4 linked regions of the Arabidopsis thaliana genome follow. The protein of the gene in region 3 interacts with the protein of the main gene of each other region in a pairwise test. Each region holds a gene or a part of one and is shown on either strand. Other genes may lie near its edges. The genes, in order: AT3G57220, ATERDJ2A, AT2G38510 and CPK26.

Evidence for each region.
Region 1: the proteins of AT2G38510 (region 3) and AT3G57220 interact in a protein complementation assay, tested with the Arabidopsis thaliana proteins (one large-scale study listed by BioGRID).
Region 2: the proteins of AT2G38510 (region 3) and ATERDJ2A interact in a protein complementation assay, tested with the Arabidopsis thaliana proteins (one large-scale study listed by BioGRID).
Region 4: the proteins of AT2G38510 (region 3) and CPK26 interact in a protein complementation assay, tested with the Arabidopsis thaliana proteins (one large-scale study listed by BioGRID).

What each region holds. Positions count from the first base shown.
Region 1 is NC_003074.8:21,172,378-21,177,966, forward strand, and holds AT3G57220 (Glycosyl transferase family 4 protein), read left to right. Parts: upstream 1-2,017; 5' UTR 2,018-2,138; coding exon 2,139-2,506; intron 2,507-2,729; coding exon 2,730-2,817; intron 2,818-2,941; coding exon 2,942-3,033; intron 3,034-3,112; coding exon 3,113-3,231; intron 3,232-3,314; coding exon 3,315-3,430; intron 3,431-3,538; coding exon 3,539-3,666; intron 3,667-3,773; coding exon 3,774-3,860; intron 3,861-3,974; coding exon 3,975-4,035; intron 4,036-4,120; coding exon 4,121-4,161; intron 4,162-4,247; coding exon 4,248-4,368; intron 4,369-4,467; coding exon 4,468-4,527; 3' UTR 4,528-4,817; downstream 4,818-5,589. Other genes in the region: AT3G57210 (uncharacterized protein), read right to left, coding at 985-1,355, 1,471-1,576; AGL16 (AGAMOUS-like 16), read left to right, coding at 5,333-5,514.
Region 2 is NC_003070.9:30,067,359-30,074,056, reverse strand, and holds ATERDJ2A (DnaJ / Sec63 Brl domains-containing protein), read right to left. Parts: upstream 4,539-6,698; 5' UTR 4,388-4,538; exon of another isoform or gene 4,345-4,387; intron 4,069-4,344; exon of another isoform or gene 4,066-4,068; 5' UTR 4,035-4,065; coding exon 3,849-4,034; intron 3,771-3,848; coding exon 3,675-3,770; intron 3,585-3,674; coding exon 3,464-3,584; intron 3,350-3,463; coding exon 3,243-3,349; intron 3,157-3,242; coding exon 2,939-3,156; intron 2,831-2,938; coding exon 2,653-2,830; intron 2,576-2,652; coding exon 2,456-2,575; intron 2,234-2,455; coding exon 2,147-2,233; intron 1,987-2,146; coding exon 1,876-1,986; intron 1,660-1,875; coding exon 820-1,659; 3' UTR 617-819; downstream 1-616. Other genes in the region: AT1G79950 (RAD3-like DNA-binding helicase protein), read right to left, coding at 241-477. UniProt on the Arabidopsis thaliana protein: Required for integral membrane and secreted preprotein translocation across the endoplasmic reticulum membrane.
Region 3 is NC_003071.7:16,121,807-16,126,201, reverse strand, and holds AT2G38510 (MATE efflux family protein), read right to left. Parts: upstream 2,218-4,395; coding exon 757-2,217; 3' UTR 667-756; downstream 1-666.
Region 4 is NC_003075.7:17,927,826-17,933,511, forward strand, and holds CPK26 (calcium-dependent protein kinase 26), read right to left. Parts: upstream 3,678-5,686; 5' UTR 3,376-3,677; intron 3,358-3,375; exon of another isoform or gene 3,285-3,357; 5' UTR 3,277-3,284; coding exon 3,227-3,276; exon of another isoform or gene 3,214-3,226; intron 3,134-3,213; coding exon 2,559-3,133; intron 2,483-2,558; coding exon 2,339-2,482; intron 2,260-2,338; coding exon 2,107-2,259; intron 2,035-2,106; coding exon 1,919-2,034; intron 1,845-1,918; coding exon 1,677-1,844; intron 1,591-1,676; coding exon 1,366-1,590; intron 1,283-1,365; coding exon 1,169-1,282; 3' UTR 1,140-1,168; intron 1,077-1,139; exon of another isoform or gene 1,054-1,076; 3' UTR 992-1,053; downstream 1-991. Other genes in the region: AT4G38225 (glycerol kinase), read left to right, coding at 1-371, 460-660, 747-782, 946-957; CGL1 (alpha-1,3-mannosyl-glycoprotein beta-1,2-N-acetylglucosaminyltransferase), read right to left, coding at 4,181-4,297, 4,382-4,552, 4,652-4,690, 4,766-4,828, 5,059-5,152, 5,268-5,358, 5,460-5,521, 5,627-5,686. UniProt on the Arabidopsis thaliana protein: May play a role in signal transduction pathways that involve calcium as a second messenger.

The sequences.
Region 1 (5,589 bases), on a different chromosome or scaffold from region 3:
TTGTGGTTTTTCTTTCCTCTCGCTCTGTTTTGCTAGGTCCTTATCAATTAGGAAGGTTCTGCAATTACGTTTCCAGAACTCCTGTCATCAAGTATCAAATTATCTCTCTACCTTCCATTCTTCAGATTTATGGTTTTCCTGAAATGTGAAGTTTGGTTTCTCAACATCTTTAGCTTCTTATGAGTCACTCAGCTGATGTCACAAACAGCTTCATGTTGACTTAAACCTTACAGAAACTTAATGTTTCAGACTGAGAACATGAGCAATAATTTAGAAGAGAGTACTTAAGTCAAATTAGTAGCAACCAGGCATTGACAAGTACTGATAAGGTTGTGGACCATAACAACCAATAAGAACAACTTAAAAGAACTTATACATGTTGGACGTATGATTTAGTAGTTACTGCATTGTTTAAACTTTTCTTGTTAAAATCTTTCTTACACTTTGATACAAAAGAAAAAGATGGTCATATTCTTAAATACTTTATAGTTTGTGCCTTTTTCATGTGATACATAACTCTGAAATCTAAAATAAATTCTTATTACATACAGAAACTATTCAAGGTGGAGACATTTAGGAAACCGTACAACACACAGAAACCAGTCCACTTAACATTTTACCAAATTAATAAGTTTAATAATATCATCTCTAATCCAAATTTTGAACCGCCATGGTTTTTGTAAGCCTTGCGCCGTCAAAGTTTAGATATCCGCCATGGTTTGGGAATGCTGAAACGCCGTAAGAGAAGTTTCACGCTCAGACTCGTACCCTTTTTGGGTATACTTTCGGATGGCTGATTCTATGGATCTTGTTTTGCGAAGACGATGAGCCAAGCCAACGCCATGGTTTGTGCGCCGCCGCCGCCATATCTGCCGTGATTTGTGAATTAAACGCTGGGACAGAAGTTTGCTACTCGTAGCCTTCTTTTTGGGTATGATATCTGAGCTTTGATTCCAACCGTCGAGACTAAAGCATCCCGTAGTCTCATTGAAGGTTTCTTCTAACTACAGCTATGCGATCAAGGTTCTGACCACAGCGAGCCTTACAAAAGTCAATGTACCTTATGTAGACAGTTGCATTCTTAGCAGTGAGAGAGGACTCACTGGGTGGCTCCATAGTTTGAATGGCTACTGACACAATCCTCAAGCCGGAAAGATCATGATCCGTGGTGGTCCTATCAGATATGGCAACAGAAAGTTCCAGATACAGACGAATCCAGTCATTGGCTCGCAGCTCTGATTCATCATCCACCACGTAAAATCGGTTTCTGTTTTCGAAAGGGTTCTCCAGCGGGAACTCAGGCAAGCTACCCATGCGGTAGAATTCTCTTTCCAACGACGTTTTAATGATTGTCCCTAAAATATACAATGATGAATGAAATACTAGTTGTTGTAATAATAATAATGATGTGTTAATGAACACGCCTACCCAAGTAAGGAGTCACATGTAGTATAATAATAATTTAATTACCTGGACGACGTCTTTCAGCAATAAAGGAGGTCAAAACAAGCCGGCCACAAGCTTCTTCATAAACGGAAGTCTGAAAAGTAAAACGCCTTCCACTAGATGGCTGCATTGCAACCAAAGTAATGTAGAAACAGCAAGCACCAGCAGCCAGAGTCCTGTTGTATCTCTTAACGTGAGAGAGCTTTAAGTTTGTCCCCTGATAAATCAAAAACGAAATTTGAATAAAAAGAAGAGCAAGAGTGGATAAAGAAAGAGAAGAAAGGAAGACAAGAGTCTTACACTTTGATTAAAAAAAAGATAGTATAGTTAGTAATTGCCTAATTAATTTCACAAAGAGAGATGATAATCAAAGAAGTTAAATAAGTCTATGGGATGCATTCTTAATAGTAATCTTGTTAACTTCTTTCTTACATTATGAGTCTTTGATTATATAAAAAAAAAAGATATTAGTAATTTGCCTAATTTCACATGAATCCCATAGACTTATTTATTTCTTTATACTTTGCTTTTTTGGGCCTTTTTGATAATTCATAAATAAGTGGTGTTGATACGATGTCGTATTGTTGTGCGTGGGCAAGTTGTAATTAAATGCTACAGGCTTTGAAGCTTCAGCGAAAAGTGGAAGAAGCAAATCCAGAGGCGGGGAACCAGAAATAGCCAACGGATCCGCCATGACTGCTCGTAAGAGAACTCCTTCAGTGTCCAATTCGGAGAAACTAGCTCTACCTGAACCTGCATCTTCCCCGACGGTTCAGAAGACCTCTGTTTCCGGAGAGGATTTCCAGCTCGCGCCGCCGAAATTGGGCGTGATTTTCGTGATCTCTTCGCTTCTGTGTTCGCTTTATCTTTACCTTCTCTGTTTCCACTACAATGTTGACAATGAGCTCAAGCGTCCGATCCTCATTAACGCTGGGCTTAGCTTGGTTGGATTCTTTGTCACACTCAAGTTGATTCCTGTAGCTGCTAGATACGTTCTGAGGCGTAATATGTTTGGTTTTGATATCAACAAAAGAGGCACTCCTCAAGGAGAAGTTAGAGTGTATGTTTTTCCTTCTTAGATTTGTCTTTGTTTAGTTCTCAGATTAGTGTTCAGCGTTTTTCTAGAAATGGATGTCTCTTAGATTTGATTTTTTGTATAGGAGGAAAACTATGAGATGTCTCATTTTCTGATTGATGTTCTATGGATGTTTACGCTTGATTTGATCTCAGGGGACTTAAAGTCTTTTGATGTGCTTATTTTCAGCAATCTTATTTCTTTGTAGGCCTGAGTCATTGGGAATTGTTGTCGGTATTGTCTTCTTGATAGTGGCGATTGTATTTCAGTTCTTTAATTTCACTGAAGATTCGGTGGTAAGTGTCCTGGTCTCAAAAGCTCAAGCTTGATCATTTATTTATTGTGAACTATGAACTTGGTAGCTCTTGGCTCATTTACTTTGAATGCAATTTATCAATCTGGCTAAATGACTCGGTGCAGTGGCTTGTGGAGTATAATGCAGCACTGGCGTCTATTTGCTTCATGATATTGCTTGGATTTGTAGATGACGTCCTTGATGTGCCTTGGAGAGTGTAGGTGCAGTTCTCATTTTGTTGGATTAAAAATTCATGATTTAGTTTTGTTTTCTTATTAACTCTTGTCAATTTGCAGGAAACTTCTCTTGCCATCTTTTGCAACCCTTCCACTGTTGATGGCTTATGCTGGACATACAACTATCGTCATACCGAAACCTTTAGTTTCTTATATTGGCTTGGAAGTGTTTGATCTAGGTACAATTCATCTTGTATATAGTGTTAAACCATCAATAGCTATTTTGAAATTCATTTCCTTAGTTGTATATTTATCGTGGCAGGACGTATATATAAGTTATATATGGCGCTACTGGCTGTCTTTTGCACAAATTCTATTAACATTCACGCTGGTTTGAATGGCCTTGAAATCGGTCAAACCGTAGTTATTGCAGCTGCTGTAAGTTCTGCTGTCAAAATGCGTCGCAATGCTTCATTTTTTTGGTCCCATTTTTCCTTCTGTTGGTTTCTCGTAAGTAAAGTTATGATAAATCTCAGTAACTTGTAGATTCTGATACACAACGTTATGCAAATCGGAGCATCTGTTGATACTGAGTATCATCAAGCTCATGCCTTCTCAATCTATCTTACTCAGCCATTGATGGCAACATCCTTGGCAATGCTTGCCTACAATTGGTAATCTTTGGATCTTTCAAGTCATTTTCTCTTAAATCAATCAGGTAAACTAGCAAAGCAGAATGCTTTCTCTAACCACGTTCATGTCCCCTCTTTGGTGATGTTAGGTACCCTTCTGCAGTTTTTGTTGGAGACACTTACACAGTCTTTGCTGGAATGACTATGGCAGTTGTTGGCATTCTCGGTCACTTCAGGTATACTTCTAACCATACCGTCCTTATTGCAATGTACTTAGATTCATCATTTACATTTAACTTATGTGTGAGCCTTCAATTAACTAACTACTTATGAAACTTTGCTTTTTGCAGTGAAACCCTGTTAATCTTTTTTCTTCCTCAAGTGTTGAACTTTTTACTGTCACTTCCGCAGGTTTGATACCTTTCTCCATCTCACACTTTCTGTTACTTTTCAATACATTTGAAAGCATCTAACTTGCTATTGTATAACTCTTCAGCTTGCTGGCATTGTCAAATGTCCACGACATCGTCTCCCCAAGTAAGCTATTTTTTGTCCATTTTTCATAAGAGGCAAAGCCAACAAGTAAACAACACATGACTCTTCCTCTCTCTTTTTTAAACCAGGTATGATCCTGCTACGGGACTGTTAACAGGAACAAAAGATGGGACACTCGTGAACGTCTACTTGAGGATTTTTGGTAGGAAAACAGAAAAGTCTCTATGTATTCATCTTCTTGTTTTCCAGGTAAACTTGTTAATGCCCATATTATCATCTCTAAATACAAGTTGGTTTATTCTGAGAGAGAGAAATCACAAGATTGGTGTTTTGTGTGTTCTATTGCAGGCTCTTGCTTGCGCATTTTGTTTCATGCTTAGGCATTTTCTAGCTGGTTGGTACAAATAAATCTCTGCAACATGAAGAAACTCTAAACCTGTTCCTCTTTTCATCTCTCTCTCTGCCTTCACAAATCATACAAACACAGAACTTGTTTTGCTTCATGTCCAACAATCTACTAGAATCATCGTTTTAGTTCACTTATATAGAGAGTTTTCATCTAAAGGCGAGTGTATCTCAACAATATAAAGCCAATGAAATGAATCAGAACAAATTTGTCTTGGAATTTAAATTTAACTACAAATGCTGATCTTATTTTGATAACTTTGATTAATAAACTAAATAATTTTTAGATTAAAGTTTTGCTAATATAGCATGCATTAAATGAAGTGTCCATTTACATATATTTTTGAATTTTAAAAATGCGCTTTTAATATTAGACAGACTACTGTCGTACTAGAATAATAAAGAATGTAATAAAAAAATAGAAGGAGAATCGGAAAAGAAACCCACTTATAGAATGCCATGTGTCAAAACATAACAAGCGAAGTATGTTTATATAGTAAGAAAACTCTTTTGCCCTAAATATCCCAAATTGTCATATGTTCTTTCCTTATGTGGCTCTCTCTTCTCTTTCTCTTTCTCTTTCCTTTTTCTCTTTCGATCAACAAAACCACATCTCTGAACTGAACCAATTTCTCTTCTCCCCCTTCCGGTTATCGGATTACCAGATCTCGTTTCCCGCGATCTAGTTTATTCTTTGAAAAAGGTAAATGTTCAATTTTTTTATTTTATTCAAAATCTCCCCTGGATTCAGGAGATGATGATTTGAAATTGACGATGATGTTTGTGTGTAAAAGTGATAGAAGCAGAAATGGGAAGGGGCAAGATCGCGATTAAGAGGATCAATAACTCTACGAGCCGTCAGGTTACGTTCTCGAAGCGAAGGAATGGATTGTTGAAGAAAGCTAAGGAGCTTGCGATTCTCTGCGATGCTGAGGTTGGTGTCATCATCTTCTCCAGCACCGGTAGGCTCTACGATTTCTCCAGCTCCAGGTACCTTTTTTCTTTTCTCTTTGGTTGACTTTTTTTTTGGGTCTTGGTCCATCTAATTGGTTGATTGATTGATGT
Region 2 (6,698 bases), on a different chromosome or scaffold from region 3:
CATCACAAGTTATAAACAAGATTAGTTAACAACTAATTCAGCGTTAATTTAAGAACCCAAATGGTCAGTGTGAACGGGGAAGAACCCTAAAAAGCGATATAGAATTGGGGAAAGCAAAATAAACAACAGAATAGAGAGAGAGAGAGAGAGTATCATCACGCGAATATCATCATCAACAAAACAGTTGAAGAGAGTTGGTGTGTAAAAAAGAGAGAGAGAGAGAGGGAGAGGGAAACCCACGTTTTGAAGAGACTCGATGACTCTGTCCATGTATATGATCTGAGACTGGTACGCCTCGAATGGGAATTCAACATTGATTCCTCTGATGCTGTAATTTGGCATTTTCGGGTCGGATTCCGCCGATAACACCACAAAACCTCTCCGGAGAAGACGAAGAAGAAGACGGAAGCAGACGCGCCTCTTCTGATTTTCCCGCCTTGTAGGGCTTCCACTTCTTGAAACAACCGTAAAGCCCATTATAACCCACTACTTTATTAACAAGGCCCATTACCTGATACCTGATGGTCTGTATTGGGGCCCCCAATAAACCCTAAACCCTAAACTATTTGGGGGAGTTAAAAAGTTTTGTTTTGTTTTGTAATGCTGTGTACCAAAATTTGTCCGAGTTAGTACGATTTTCTCCTTAGTCGCGTTTTGCTTGTATGTGTGTCTCTGAAGAAAAGTGATACAGAGAGAAAGAAAGAGAAGGGAGCCAATGAGAGAATATCAAAACTGTGAAAAAGAAGTTTCCGTCAAGATTCCAGGACAAAAGTATTGTATTTTTTGTTTTGTTTATCAATGTAAAATCTCATTTCTGTTTCACTCTTCCTCCGATCCCGACTCTTCAGAACTCGACTCTTTCTTCTGTTTCACACTCCCATTGGCCTTCTTCGACCCTCTCTTCTCATCCATATCTTTCTTCTCATCCTCATCTTCACTGTACTCACTTTCGTAATCATCATCGTAATCCTCCTCCTCAATCTCATCTTCCTCCTCCATACCTTCTTCTGCAATCGCACCCTCATCTGAAACCAACCCACGTGTCCCTGCCCTGGTTCTTTTCAGGACTTTCACTTTCAGTGCTTGCTTTTTGTCACACCCGATCCATGTGTCACACAGGCAGAAGCAAGTCAAGTTGTATGTTCCCTCTGCCGGTGCTTGGAGTTTACCCATGACCAGCCTTGACCCTCCTTTAACCTTCTCAATCGCTTCTCTCACTGCATCGTTTGTTTCCTTCACCCCTGCACCCGAACCTTCCATTGACTCACTGATGGCTTTTGATGCAGCCGTTATCGCTCCACCTTCATCCAGGAAGCTAACCTTCTGAGAGAACCAAACGTTGTTCGACACTGAATCAGCCAGAAGAACCCAATAGTTTTCCTCCTTGTGGAAGGGGAAGTAGGGTGCATGAGGAAGAGCGCCTACAAGCCCATTGGGTCGTTTCAGGGTGACCCAAGCTTGAAGGGTCACAATGTCTCCCTCTTGGATCCCCTCTTCCCCTTCTGTTTCACATGTGATGTCGACTGTAATAGACGGCATCATTTCTAGCACCTTCTCAATGTCCTCAACATCAGTTGCTGATAAACCCGCTACCTGAGTAAGTAGTTCAGAACGGTCTTCCAACCTCATTTCTTGAAGATCTTGGAATGATTTAACCTTCTGAAAATAGGAGAAACAATGACATGTTAACATAAAATGGAGGTTTATATATGTCTTTAGACTAGACCTTTAAGTAAACCAACCTAAAGAACCACTACTACTTATTTGGAGAACAGAATCCAACAAGATTCTCAGGAATCAAAAAGTGAGAGAAAAATGCACATGATATGGAACTAGATATTAGTACTGCACTTGACACATTTGATAGTAGTATACCTTCCGTGCTATCTTTTTGACAACGGCATCACTGAAATGAGGGAGCTGTAAGAAAGGGGAAATGCCTTCTGATGATACTCCAGAAGACTTCCTTGCACTAAGAGGAACAGCCTGCGATTTTGGATTTTTAGTTTATGTTCCTAGACAACAACACTAAGCACTTCTTAAACTTTCAGGAAGAAGTAAATCTTGTGGAGAAAAGAGACATAAAGAACTGAAAGCTCACAAACAAATAAAAACTAGAAGATAGGCGATGAGAGCAATTTAAGACCTGAACAATGCACTGAGATAGCTCAACTACTCCAACTGCAGGCCTCAGCCATCCATGCCCTTGGGCAGTGCGTGGTATAACCGCCATCTGCAAGAAACTCACAATGTTATAATGAAAGAATGGTTAAGAAAACCACAATTTAACAGTGTAACCAAAAGCATCACTATTAACCTAAATTTCTAAGTCTTTTAAGAGTCTGTTTCGAGTTCCTCTAAAGGAAAATACATATCTTCTAGGTTAGCACTTTGCGGTCATCGCTTTTTGATGGTTATTTTATCAGAAATTGTGTTATTTAAATAGAGACTAGACCTTCAATAACTCCTCAAGGAGGCGAGGTGCAAGCTCTAGCACACGCCTGAAATCACCCTGAAGGGCTGGAGACAGGACTCCTGATTCACGAGTTAACTGGGCTTGTATCAACAGCTCGGTCTGTACAGAAATTGAGGAAGTGAGTATTTCAGTTTATCCAATATTTAGCATTACAGTTGCATAATTTTAAAATTCACCTTCACTATGGCAGGATGCTGTTTCCAAAACTTAGCTTGCTCTTGCTTCATGTTCTTCAGGTCCAAATTTAGTTCACTCCTAACAGACATAAAGAGCTTCTGCAGAGGTTCATCATCAGTTCTACGAACTGGAATCTCCATGTACTCAGCTGCCTTGGTGAAAACTTCCATAACTTTGCTGGACAATAAAAATTTTAAAACATGTCATACAAACAAACGAAAACACAGCCCATTTGTCATGCACCAATAGCATCACTTGAATGTATATGGGTATGAGTGAATATACCTTGGGGCCAGAGAGGGTTTCATTAGATAATAATATGCGGAGAGTGTTTGATGCATAACGTAGTTCCCAGTATACTTTGATGACCTCGAGAGATATATAACAGCAATCACAAGGGGCAAGAGAATACAGACACCAACTATCCAAAGCAATAATATGCCACCAGATGCTCCATCAATGTCTAGAAGAAATTGAGGAAGAGCAATGCCCATTTGAAATCCCTGCGATCACATAACAATATTTTAGTCTCAATAGGCTTGTCAATAAGACGGGAGCACATGCGAAGGGAAAGGAGATGTATCCTTACCTGTCTGCCATCTGGATGACCATACTTCTCAAAGTTTTCACGGGATACTGAATCAGTCAAAGCCTGGTATGCTTTAGATATGAACTCCACAAAATATTTATTGGCTTCTGTAGAGATCAACAAATGCGCATAGAAGAAAAAACTATCAGGATCAAAAGCTGCAACCATAATTCCGTAATGATCAAAAGGGAAAAAAAAAATAACAAGGGGAAAAACTTGACCTGGATCTGGATTTTTATCAGGATGGTATTGAATCGACAGCCTTCTATATGCTTTCTTTATTTCTGAATCTGTAACTCCAGGTTCCAGTCCAAGTATACTGAATGGGTCAAAAACTTGAGCCTGTAACACAAAAGAAGGTAAATAAGCAAGTAGAATTAGTTGATATAAGTCAGCGGTGCATTCAAGTTCAACAGCAAGCAATGGGATTACCTCACGGCTCATGTTCTTAGTGTAATAAATCAAGAAAATCATCACGACCCAGAGTAGCACAAGTGTCAAGTTGCTCCACGTAGAGAAGTTAGAGATCTGCAGATAGATAAGTGAAGAAGAGGTTAGGAACATGCAATAATCTATTACAGAGCAGGAGGTTGAGTGGAAAGTAACCTTTTTAAACAAGGATCTCTTATATTTTCCAGAACGGTCACACTCGAGACACTGACAATGAATGGTCCTTTGTTTCTTGGAGAGAGCACCGCTTAACTTGACCATGGTGTAAGGCACCAAAGGAATTGCCATAATCGTCAAGATAAAAATGGGAAACAATGCGCTATTCTCTTCTGACGCCGCCATCTTTGGAGCCTTTAAACTGAGAGATTCTATTCTGCTGAAAGGAAAAGCTCTGTTATAATCTCACAACATCCAAAAAGCTTCAAGGATACAAAATTATCAATAACATGAAAAGCTGGATCTGAGGCCACTGAAATTAATTAGGGATTCTACATGACGGAGATCAACACTAATAGATCTCGGCTAATCTAGTCTAAAGGTATATGAATCCCTGGACTCACTTTGAGATCGACACAAAACCTTAGAAAACAAACAAACGAAACTACGGGAAGGAAGCAAAACCAATAATTGGTGAAAGAAGATGAAATCGAACTTGAAAGGATATTGTAGAAGAGGAAATCGAAGAAGAAGCTCACCTAGGATGATAGCTCTCTATAATCAGAGAGATCGCGCTGCTGCAGATCGGCAACAAACGGCGTTGCAGTTTTTTTTTCTTTATGCTTCTCTTCTCTTCTAATTTCTGATTTCTGATTGGTGAGTTCTTTCTTCTTTACTTGCTTATTCACTTTTCTTTACCTTCTCAATTAAAATATTTCGCAATTCATTTCTCTCTTTACATTTTTACGAGTTATTTATTTTCCATTAAATTAGAGTAATTATTAATAGCAAAGTTTTTATGGTGAACGAAAACGAATTTCCCAAAAAAAATCACATTTTTTATAAATTAGAAAGGAAAAAGAGAAAAGGATATGGATCAAAGAGGGATTATATGCTCTAGAGATTTAATGTGATCCAGATATTGTAATAGGGATTGCAACAAATCTCTTATATGTTCTAGAGATTTAATGTGATCTAGAGATTGTAAATAGTTACAACAAAATAGAGATTTAAACAAAACAAATATTTAATGATTTTAAGAAAACTGTTTTGTTGTAACTATTTATATTTCGACCAGAAATAAATTGTTCTACTTGCAAAATACATCAATCTTCGTTATTATTATCGATTTAATCATAAACTGTCTAATTCAATTAAATTTATAAGAGCATGGTTACCAATACTTTTTTATCTACTGTAACGAAAGCTAATAATGATTTTGAATGAGTTTGGTATGATTTGGTTATTCGATTCACTAAAATAGTCGTTTTAAATCTAGCCAAATATCGTATAATTTTACTTGTTTTGATTATATTAAATAATCAGTTATTTGAAAACTTTGTTGACATGTTAATATTATATATAACTAAAACAAAATATAGATATTAAAAACAAAGAAAATGTTATTATATAGCTATTATCGTTTTTCATACCATTTAAATTTTATTACTGGCTTTCATATTATGATATTGTTGTACATAGACACCACTGCTAAAATGCTTATTAACTTGAGATTTTGCTTGTGAGATTTGGAGGCTAATTTTTTTCTCGGTTAAGCATTTCTCGCATCATATGCCTTCCACATAGTTTGAGCTTTTGTTCACCAAATGTTCTTACCACTCTCAAGAAACTGGCAGCACACGAATATGCTTTCCACATGGTTTGAGCTTTTCTCTTGGACAAAAACTCGTTCACCAAATGTTCCTACCACTCTCAAGAAACTGGCAGCACACGCATATGCCTTCCACATAGTTTGAGCTTCTCTCTTGGACAAAAACTCGTTCACCAAATGTTCCTTCCACTCTCAAAAAAATGGCAGCACACGGTGGAGTTTACCACATTTGAAAACAAGTAAATAATGTCTTACATAATTCACAGTCACTGCTTTCTTCGATCATTTTCAAGAATTTTGACCGTGAAATTTGCAATACCATATCTTCAAGAAGACATCTAAAAGGTTTTCGCAATCTGGTGATTAGGTTAATGCTCTTTTGTAATACATTTCTTTCATTTTATATATGATATTAACATTTATAACAAAAGAAAACAATCATAGCATATTGCATGTCATTGCAAGTTTGCTATATACAGTAGTTTTAAACCGAGTAAACTTAAGATCAGGTAGGAAAGATGCAAATAAAGAAGCAAGTGATACCAAAAATATATGTAAACATTTAATATAGTTCTTCAATCTAATTGACGATTAGAAAGTACTGTACTAGATGATTACGATCCAAGATTTTTGTCCACACTAAGAATATTTCACAAAATAAGGTTTGCAACAGTAGGATTGAAATGCCAGTAAACAGTGACATTATCTCGAAAAAATCCAACTCAGAAATCATTTACTAGCTAATAATATTTTTCAAATAGTTTAGAATTATTATTGTTGTTTATCATTAACGCATACAAAGTTAGTTGTATAATCTTTCAACTTATAAATAATTTGGTTTTGGACGGAAGAGCTTTACGCAAATGTATTAATTTGGTTTTGATAATTTTTATTTGTAGACTCGATTTGTTTACGTAAATTATGAAAGAGAGGCAAAAATAAATATCATAAGATATAGTATTAGAAGAAAAGGACATAAAAGTAGTAATTAAAAAAAAAAAGGAAAAGAAAGTGTGAAAAGAAAAAAGGAAAAGTAGAGAGGAACGCAACCCTGGGGGCTTCTTAATAAACCCCTCTCGCTCTCTTGTCTCTTCCTTACGACAACCTCTCCTGCTCTTCGTTTTCTCTCTACGACGATAAAACCCAGATTTGGGTTCAAGCTTCCATAACTTTAAACCCCTCTCGCGATCCAGGTATGTTTCCCAATCTTTATTCCCAGATCTTCCAGATCTGAAGCT
Region 3 (4,395 bases):
GAGTGCCGATGAGAGCACTGAAGATCAATTGATCTTGTCTACTCCAGGCTTCATACTCAGGATTCACAGAGGCAACGTCGTTGACGGTAATCTCACGAGCTGGAGCAGCTTTTGTCGCATCAAGGTATTGAGTGAGACCGTAGCCGTGAAGGAGAGCGTGGACTTGGCGGCTCCACATTATGTAATTGGAGGCCGTAAGTTTTGTCACATTCGACATGTTCATGTGAACAATGGAGGTGTTGTTGAGGTTGACGGTTTCAGAAGAAACATTCGACATGGTTGAAGTTTGAAAAACAGAGGAATAAAAAAATCAACGGGGGAGAAGAAGAAAGAAAGGAGAGAGGCGGCTGTTTTTAGGTTTTTTATTTTTAGGTATCGATGATGCTCTGATACCATATAAAGAATATAGAATTGGATGATTTGTATTGAGATGATTTACATTGTTTATATACAGACTAGATGTTCTAGAGACTTCTAATTACAGAATATATAGTTTACATAAGTAGAATTGTGATTGATCTTGATTGATCCTTGATAGATTCGTCACAACTGTTCTCACTACATACTTCTGCGTGTTAGAAAAAGCTAAGCTCAACCAATTAAATGGCTGAGTCTTTTCACAAAATCTTAGTTAACAGTTCGGACACAAATCTATCTTCGGTATTTTTAGTTTGCCAAAAAAAAAAAGTTTCCTATATCATTAACAATCCGTTAAAAATTGTCGATTGATAATTTTAACATTTCTAGCTAAACTAGTCAATTCGTATTTTGTAGTAAACCAATCTCCAGATCATTGCTACTCACATCATCATCGTCTTGTACTTCAGCATGGACGGTTTCGTCTTCCGAATGGCTTTTGTCGGCTGCAGCGGAGGTAAGTTCCTCTGCCCGCTTCACTTGATGAGACCAGTCCGTACGGATTAACGTATAAAGCATCATTACCAAACACGTCATCTGCGCAGATAACAGTCCAAACCATAGCCCACGAAACCCAACCTTAAACCCAAACGTGGTCGTAACTGCCACAGGCAAGCCCACAATGTAGAATGCGCATAGGTTAACGCGTGCTCCATCTTTAGGCCTAGCCGTCCCAGTCAAGACTCCGCAAGCAGCCGTCTGTGGCGAGTTTCCAATCTCGCAAAGCCCCAAGATCGGAAGCGCAGCCGAAATAAGCCCGAGAATCTCCGGTTCGTCCGTGAACATCTTTCCCCAAACCGACCTAAGCGCGGTCACAAAAACAGCAGCTGCTAAACCGTACGCTACCGCGAGTATCAAGCCAATCACGGTCGTACATTGTGCCCGTGTTGGTTGGCCGCCTCCAAGAGCGTGACCTACACGGGTTGCAATGGCGCTGCTAATAGCAAACGGGACTACGTATAGTATCCCGGTGGTCTGAATCAATATTCCCATGGCGGCCACGCTTGCTTTAGGGTTCCCAAGAAGCCCACAAAGAAAAAGCATGATCTCATACCACCAATACTCCAAACACACCGAGATAGCGCTTGGTGCGGCTAGAGAAAGCAGCGGCCACCAGCCGCGGAAAAGTGACCGCAAAGCGAGCCCTTCCCACGGTTTGATTAGAGAATCCGAGAAGCACGTATAAACGAGCAGTCCCACGTCGATATTCATAGTGTTGAAAGCCATTGCGATGGCCACACCCTTAACGCCTAAACGCATACGCACGACAAAGACGTAGTTGAAGAGAGGATGAAGAAGAATGGATACAATGGCAGATATCGTGAGCGGTGATGTTAAGCCTTGCGTTCTAAGGAACGTTCGAAGCGGATGGAGCATGGCCTGAGCCAAGAGCTCAGGGACGAAGAAGAGCATATAGGTTTTGGCTACCTTGGTAATATCTGGGTCCTGACCCAACCGTAGGAAAATGGGTTCGATGTTGAGCCACGTAACGGCGATTGGAACAGAGACGACAATTAAGAGACAGAACATTTTCTGAAACGTGTGGCTAAGTACGGTCCAACGTTTGGCTCCGAAGGCTTGGCCACAGATTGGGTCCATACCAACGGAAAGGCCTTTAAGTACGGAGACTCCAGTGATGTTTCCAAAGCCCATAGCGAGTGCACCACCAGCGAGTTCGACTTTTCCGAGATGACTCAAGAACCACATTGAGATTATTGATCTTGAGAATATGAGGAGTGATGTCATCACAATCGGGCAAGCTATTTTTGTGAGTGACGCCATCTCCTCTCCCACCTGCATGGGAAAAATAAAATTAAAAAATTATGTTATTTTTGTTAGGTTTTTCAATTGAACAACTCTTTATTTTTTCACATGTTCTATAGGCTTCTAGTTCTAGCAAAACGCACTCGAGAAGATATTAGTGTATAGAAAGAGCGCAACACGAGTATGTTGTATATTAAAAAAAAAAAAATTATCCTCAAAATATGATTTAGTCTTTAATATCCTTTTTTAATCATGTTTAATATTTTGTACGTGATTTAATTTCGTTTAATTAACGATATTGCACTCACTAAAAATATTAAATTTTCTGGTATATCATTTATTAATATTTTTATCACAATAAACAAACAAATTTCTTTTCTAATAAGTTGTATGAAAATGGTATTTATATGAGCTTTTTATACATGAGTTATTAAAAAAATCATTGTACCTTAATTGTTTCTTTTTGTCAAATAAAATCTTAAATTAATTTTATTGTGAAACAGAAGGACATTACATTACAATACGGAAAATGATATTTTATCATATTATAAAATTAAGAACAATTTGTAAGCACGAGGAAGATGGTCGCATCACATGGCCACTGGGACTGGGATGAGAAAGTTGAAAAAGGAAGAGAAAAAGGTTTAAACTCTATAACTTTTAGAACTGAATATATAATCAAATTCACAAGTGCCAGAAAAGCGAATGGCTAACTGTACCAACATTCTAGGATCTTTTTAAATAAAAATCATCATGGGTTTTTAAAAGCTCACCTTTTTTGTTTTCTTTTTGAAAAAACAAAATCAGCTTAGATATTACCTTTCATTTCATGATATCTTCATTAAGAATATCCACATTTTAAAAACATATAAAAAATATTTTACGCATAGATACTTGTAAAAGTATCATGAACTACTATTGACATTTCATAAACAATCGGATAAGGATTTCAAGAAAATAAATCGGAAAGTAACTAGATTATATTTGTACTAAGTAAAGAAACTGATAAAAAGAATAGAGTGAGAGGAAACCTATATAGAACACTTTCCTAAGTAAGTACAACCCAACTGTCAAGAAATATAAAGTAAGTACAACACAAAAAGCATCTCTTTCAGTCCATGAAAGTGAGGATTTATCATACTAGTAGTAAGTAGTAACGCTTTAGGCATAAATATGAACATATATACACATATATATATATATATATATATACAGAGAAAACTTATATATAAATGAATTTTCAACATTGTATTTCTCAAGTACGTGAAAGATAGATGAAGCATTATTCATGCTATGTTTTTAAAAGGGATGCATTATATTCGGTTAAAATGCTATAAAAACAGTCAAAAGAAGCATTCAATCCAGTATAAGATCAATTTCCAAGAACTACATATTATTTACCAGACCCAAAAAATACTGCGAAAGTGACTGAAAACAATATAATAATCCATCAAAAATCACCAAATTCTCTGGTTAAACGTAGCAAACGTCTCTATATTAGGATGGTCCTGATCACGAAAACTAGTAGTACAAACAAAAACACAAGAAAACTATGAAATCAAAGAATAAGCAGAGTGATGACTTGTCAAAGCTAATTGGAATTTTTTTGTTGAAGAAAATGTAAGAACAAGAAAAGAGAAATTAAAGAAAAAGAAACAAGCCTCATTGAAAGGGATGCGACGGAGACCAGCAGAGAATTTGGCGCTGCCGCTATTTTCTCCTTTGACGGATGTTGAAACATCGCATTCTCCATTTATAATCTCTCCAGATTCACTGCTTTCCATGTTAGACCTGCACATGCTCATATATATTTGTATATACTATATACTATATATCACACTTCTTCACTTATATCAAAGAGATTTATATGTTGGTGACTACGAAAAAAGGGTTGCCATAGAAGCTAGCTACGAGTTTGTGTGTGTGAGAGAGACAGTGAGAGAGAAGAAGAATGTCTTAAGTTCCCCTCGTATTTATGTACGCTTCCTTAGTCGTCCACTCTAATTAATTTCATATTTACTCGTCTTTTCCTTATTTTTTTGAACTATTTTTTTTTTTTTTTTTTTAAAGTTTTTTTTATTGGGAACATCTGTTTCTTCGTTTATATATGTAGCCAGTTGAGTTTTTGTATTAATAAAAAATTCCACATAGTCAGTCTCTTAGACTGAACCAATTTACTAAAGTGTTGCCTTTATACATTCTACTTATAGAAAG
Region 4 (5,686 bases), on a different chromosome or scaffold from region 3:
AGAGGATCATCGGGGGAGGCAAATCCTCTGCATTAGCCTTTTCGTATTCTGTCACTGGCTCCTATGTCGCTGTGTGGCCTTTGCGGAACAACCAGCTTGAGGTGGAGCATTGTCTGATCAATCCAAAGGACAAGGAGTCTCGTGTGAGGATTTTCCAGGTTGTCAGCTTAGCAGAGACCACCAACATGTCCTTGCAGAGTGTCAAAGTTTTCTGTGAGCAGTGGTACGGTCCGTTCAGAGATGGCGATCAGCTTGGAGGCTGTGCCATCCGTAGCTCCGGCTTTGCTGCTACACCTACCACTGCAGCTTCAGTGGTTACCGGTTCTTGGAGAGTTCTACTTGCTACCACTAGCTTTCACGCCTCTGATTTCGTGAGTTGGCGTCCTTACACTGTGTATTCAAGTGTGTACTTCCATTCGATGATTGCCGTAAGTTTGTTTATTTTGTGAGTATGTTCAGGGTTGTATACAACAAGTTACTGGCGAGAAGGTGATTGAGATTGTGAGAGAAGAAAATGATCTTTTATTGCTTCCGCAAGAGCTGTGGTGCTCACTCCAACAAGGCAAAGACCGCGAAAGAGTATTTTCAGTAGGATGGGTCTTTGAGCCAGGCCATGCTATCACATCCAGCTGCGTCTTCTCTAGCGATTCTAAGCTAAAGGTAACCAATAATCTTCTTTGTTGACAACTACATACTCTTCTCCTTGCAACTTGTGGTCATTATTCTATCTCTTTTACTTTGCGCAGGAGGTAACAATGGGGAGAGAGACTGCTCTATCAGATGTATGATCAATAATCGTTTAAATCTCCACAGATCATTCTTATAATTTTCTTTGTAGGATGTGTGCACATAAGTCAAATTACAATAATCTCATATGACTTCCTATACTGATGTTTGATTCAGTTTATCTGTTAATAATACATATCAGTTCGTTTTAGAATGCAGAGCCTTTGTTGATTCAATCTTTACCGGGAAGGATCCAGACCATGGGAACCATATTTCTGCAGAGCTTTGTAGCTTTTGCATATCTTCGTTCAGCTCTATCAAAAACGACTGTTTCACGTACACCGATGTATAGACTTGTCAGTTTGGGAAAGAATTTGATGGAATTTACCTTGAAAAAGTGAGAAAGGCTTAACCTGTACATAATCGTGAGATTGCTTGCTTCTCACTGCGAGACGGCATTGTTCCTGATGCTCATGTTTATGCTTTTCCTCATTGTTCTTCCAACAATGCCTTTCTGCATCATAGCTACAAACTCCCCGTAGTCAATCCTTCCATCCTGAAACAAGAAGAAAAAAATGATCCCTGGCCTTTGACCATGTACTCTCCAAGCCAGAGGATATGTATGCATAAGTCACTCACATTGTCTTGGTCGACTTCCTTGATCACATCTTCTAGAAAGACATCACTCATTCCCTGTTCAGCACATGCGTGCTGTAGCTCATCGATAGTGATGTAACCGCTCCCATCTTTGTCAAAGTACCTGAAGGCTGACAGAAGATGTTCTTCACGCTCTAATTTGTTCAGATGGATTGTTGCAGCAATGAATTCACCATAATCTATGGTCCCACTCTTGTCAATATCTGCCTGGTAAATCACAGTCACAGATTAATACTAAACATACTGATTTCAAGCAGGTACTCACACAGATCAGATCAGAGCAAAGTGCTTACAGCCTCCATAAGGTCACGAATCTCAGTATCCTTGAGGGTTGAACCATATCTTCGCAACCCGGCTTTCAGCTCGTCAAACGTAATCGCTCCACTGTTATCCGTGTCCATTGCTTTGAACATTTCCTTCAGTCCAGCAATTTCTTCCTCCGAGAGACTCTCAGCTATTACCTGAATCACAGCAGAAGACATTTATGGAAAATTGTTCACAATAAAGGCCAAAAGGCTTGCGGCCGGGGGCTTACCCGTAAAGCCATCTGCTTTAGTTTATTCATCGCAGAGAACTGTTTAAGACGAGAAAGCACAGCAGGATCTAGTGCTCTGTCTGGCGCAACTCCATTTTCACAGATCCAAGGATGGCCTGCAAAATTCTAAATAAGCTAGCAGATACACTAATTCAGGACCTGAAATAGGAGCAACTGGTTAGACTTACGCAATACTTGATGAGCTGTCAGTCGCTCAGAGGGCCGGGAACATAGCATGCCACGGATCAAGTTTTTTGCAGAGTCGGATATTAGGGGCCAAGGGTCGGAGTCAAAGTCAATATGTCCCTTCAGCACTGCATCAAATATCCCTTGCTGTGTTTCTGGAGTTGAAGCAAAACAAATATTTAAGAATCTTTTACCTTGGAAGCCTAATCACAGTTGTTTCATTTGGGTGCATACCTGCCCAGAACGGAGGGACTCCGCTCACCAATATGTACAGTATGACCCCTGCGGTCCACACATCAGCCTCGGGTCCGTAGTGCTTGAGCAGAACCTCAGGAGCAACATAATACGGACTTCCAACCACATCCTCGAATATTTGACCTGAAAGTTGCAGATGATGTAGCAAGTGTGAAATTCTGACTGAAGATGTTGCAAATGATGCAGCTGATGTTATCACCTGGTTTGAAGAACACGGAAAGCCCAAAATCAATGGCTTTGAGAGAGAAGTCGTCGTCCTTGTTAACCAACAAGAAATTTTCGGGCTTTAGATCTCTATGCATGACACCAAGCGAATGGCAAGCCTCAACAACACCAACGATGATCTTTATCAGCTCAGCTGCTTTTCTCTCGCTGTAATGTCCTCTCTGGATAATTCTGTCAAACAATTCCCCACCTGAGCAAAGCTCCATCACGATGTGAACATACAATGGATCCTCGTAAGCACCTTTAATGGTGACAATGTTCTTGTAGCCAGCCAGATGGTGCATGATTTGAATTTCCCTGCGTACGTCTTCCACATCTTCCTTTGATATCAACTTTCGTTTTGTTATAGACTTGCATGCGTATTCACGCCCTGTTGAGATCTCTTTGCACATGTAAGTCGTCCCAAACTGTCCTTGACCTAGTTTGTGTCCCAACGAGTAGAGATCTCGGATGCTTGGGGTCTTTTGACCAAGAACATAGCAGGCTTGGTTCCCACCGCTGTGCTTCATTGTGGCTTCTTCCTGGGGGCGTCTTTTGCCAGTTTGTGTGCTGAAACAAATCGTTGAAAGACAAAATGTATTAGAAGTGGTTTGGCTTGTAAAGAATTGCCCATCAAACAAATCCCTTACCAAGTTAGTTCACCTCCCCTTCCAAATTAGTTTGCCATCAGAGGAAAACAGAGCAAGTCCCATAGCAAGATCTGAAACATTATACGAATTTAGCATAAAGAAATCGCAATAATAAGGAGAGACATCAAAACAGGGGAATTAGAGGAAGAGATGGATGTGTACCAGACAAAGATGATAAGAATGGATGAAAATTAAGTCAGATTGGTGCAGATCCGATGATACACATTGTTGAACATGGTTTTGCAATATTCTCGCCAACGTCTCCACATCCTGACTAAAAATAACAAAAGAAGAAGATATCTTTGATTAATAGTCATCAACAGATCTGTCTCTTTAATTAGAATATTCTAAAAATGCAGGGGAACTCCACAAGGCTCTTTTCTTAGGCCTACTTCACATGAGACAAATCAAGACCTCCAATTGGTCGCATCGGAACAAACCTTTAATGATCCCATGGCCTCAGATTCTAGTTGACGGGTTATACCAGAGAAGATGGGTCGAGTGCCTTGATTGGCTACTCGCCAAAGATGTAATAAAAGTTACTTCTTTGAAGCAACACGCATTATTTAGTACATGTTTGAAGAGATATGTACACTAGCAATAGAGAAGCCAAAACAAGTGGGACGAAGAAAAACTGCATAGAATGATTTGCATTCGTATAAGTTACCCACAAGATAATCACTAATAAAACAACTGAAATATATTTAACCCTGACCCTTTCAAGGGGTTCCCATAACTTCTAAGCCAATCAGCCAGGTCACCAGAGCTTCCTTGCTGTTAAAGTTAACCCCACCGCTCGACAAACTCATCCATAAATAACAATACAACCTAACAGCTGCTAGAAGGAGGCTGCATGCGGTCCAAAATCTTCTTTTCCTTTCATCTGCTTGTGAAACCCGGTTAGCACAGAACTGTAAGCAATGGTTAAGATGTAAATGATGCTGGTTGGAGAAGTACATGTTTTGCATCAGGAATTTCGAATTCCAAGCTGCATTACAGAATCTGGCCCAACCAGGAATACACGTCTTGTTGTCTGGATTCGAAACACCACTACTCCTTTATATGCTGTTCGAGGCACACCATCCTACACAATCAAAGGGGTACAAAAAAAGTGACCCATTTGGACCTACAATTATTGAAGATTATAGTTCAATCATCTCAAATTTACCTTCCATTCTTCAAATATACCAAATTCCCCTGCAATGCGTTCAAACTCTACTTGGTCTTTATACCGGATACGAACATCATCCTTTATGTTTTGAGCCTTTAAGACAAGGTCAGAACCTTGAATTGGTCGTGCTTGTCTCACTAAGCCAGAAAAGTACTTGGTATAGTTTCCCTTTGATAGACATGAGAGAACAGGTTAAAAACTACATTTCTCCACTCAAAACATGCAAAATGGTATAAAAAAAAAAGGCCGGAGTTCTGTAAATGTTACCTCTGTCAGGTATCCCAGGTCCTTTGCTTTCCAGTCAACCTTTATGAATGAAATAGGAAACCAGTGAAAACTAGTGATGCAACAAAAGGGGGTAAAAAACACACTTACGCTTACCGTCACATCGTTTAGCTTTATAGGTTCCAGATACTGACTGAAAAACTGTCCCAAACTAGACCCCTGCCAAATTAATATAACAAGGTTATGGATAAGTATGAAATGCAAAAATATATTATGTGGTATTGACTGTCTACATCCATGTGTCGGGAAACTATAGGACGAAGCTGCAATAATACATTTTTCATACAGAAAGCAGAAGTCATATGCAGCGAACATAGGTCAATTTAACAGCATTACAAAAACAGACTTGTAAAACTATGATATATAGGATAGCATAATCGGGTACTAACATGTTCACCAAAATTGTATGTTCTACAGACTTCCGGTCGAATGAATTGGCGGCCTTTATGGTTTTCCTTTAGTCTCAGCCAATCATCCCAGTAAGTGGATATTTGTTAAGAAAAGTCTTAGAAACGTCAAACTATTTTTTTTTTTAGAATTTAAGAAGCGTCAAACTATAGTCATCGAGATTGAAAGAAAAAAAAGCATATAAGGATATGCCTTTGGCCACTTTGGTGATAACTCATCCCAAGTCGATCTCTTGAGCATCCACCCAAGGCCAGGAAAAAAATCTGATCGGTATAGCGCATCTGCAGATTATTTTAGCTCGCATGAGCTAGACATAATGAGGTATTGAAAGAACAGGCAAGAGAGGAAGCAAGGTAAAGAAGAAGAAGAAGAAGAATCTTACAGGGATCATGCACAAACTGCTTCTGTCCATTATCATTCCATGATGAAGCAGCCATAATGGTTCTAACACATGTTTGGACCAGAAAAGAATGAGAAACAGTAATAAAAACATTTGTATACTCTGTGGAAACTTATACTATAAGAGTCTAGCTTCAGTAGGTAACATACTTATCCCTATCCATGAGACTAGCTGCAGCCTCAAAGTAATCAAAGAAGTCTGGAGCAATT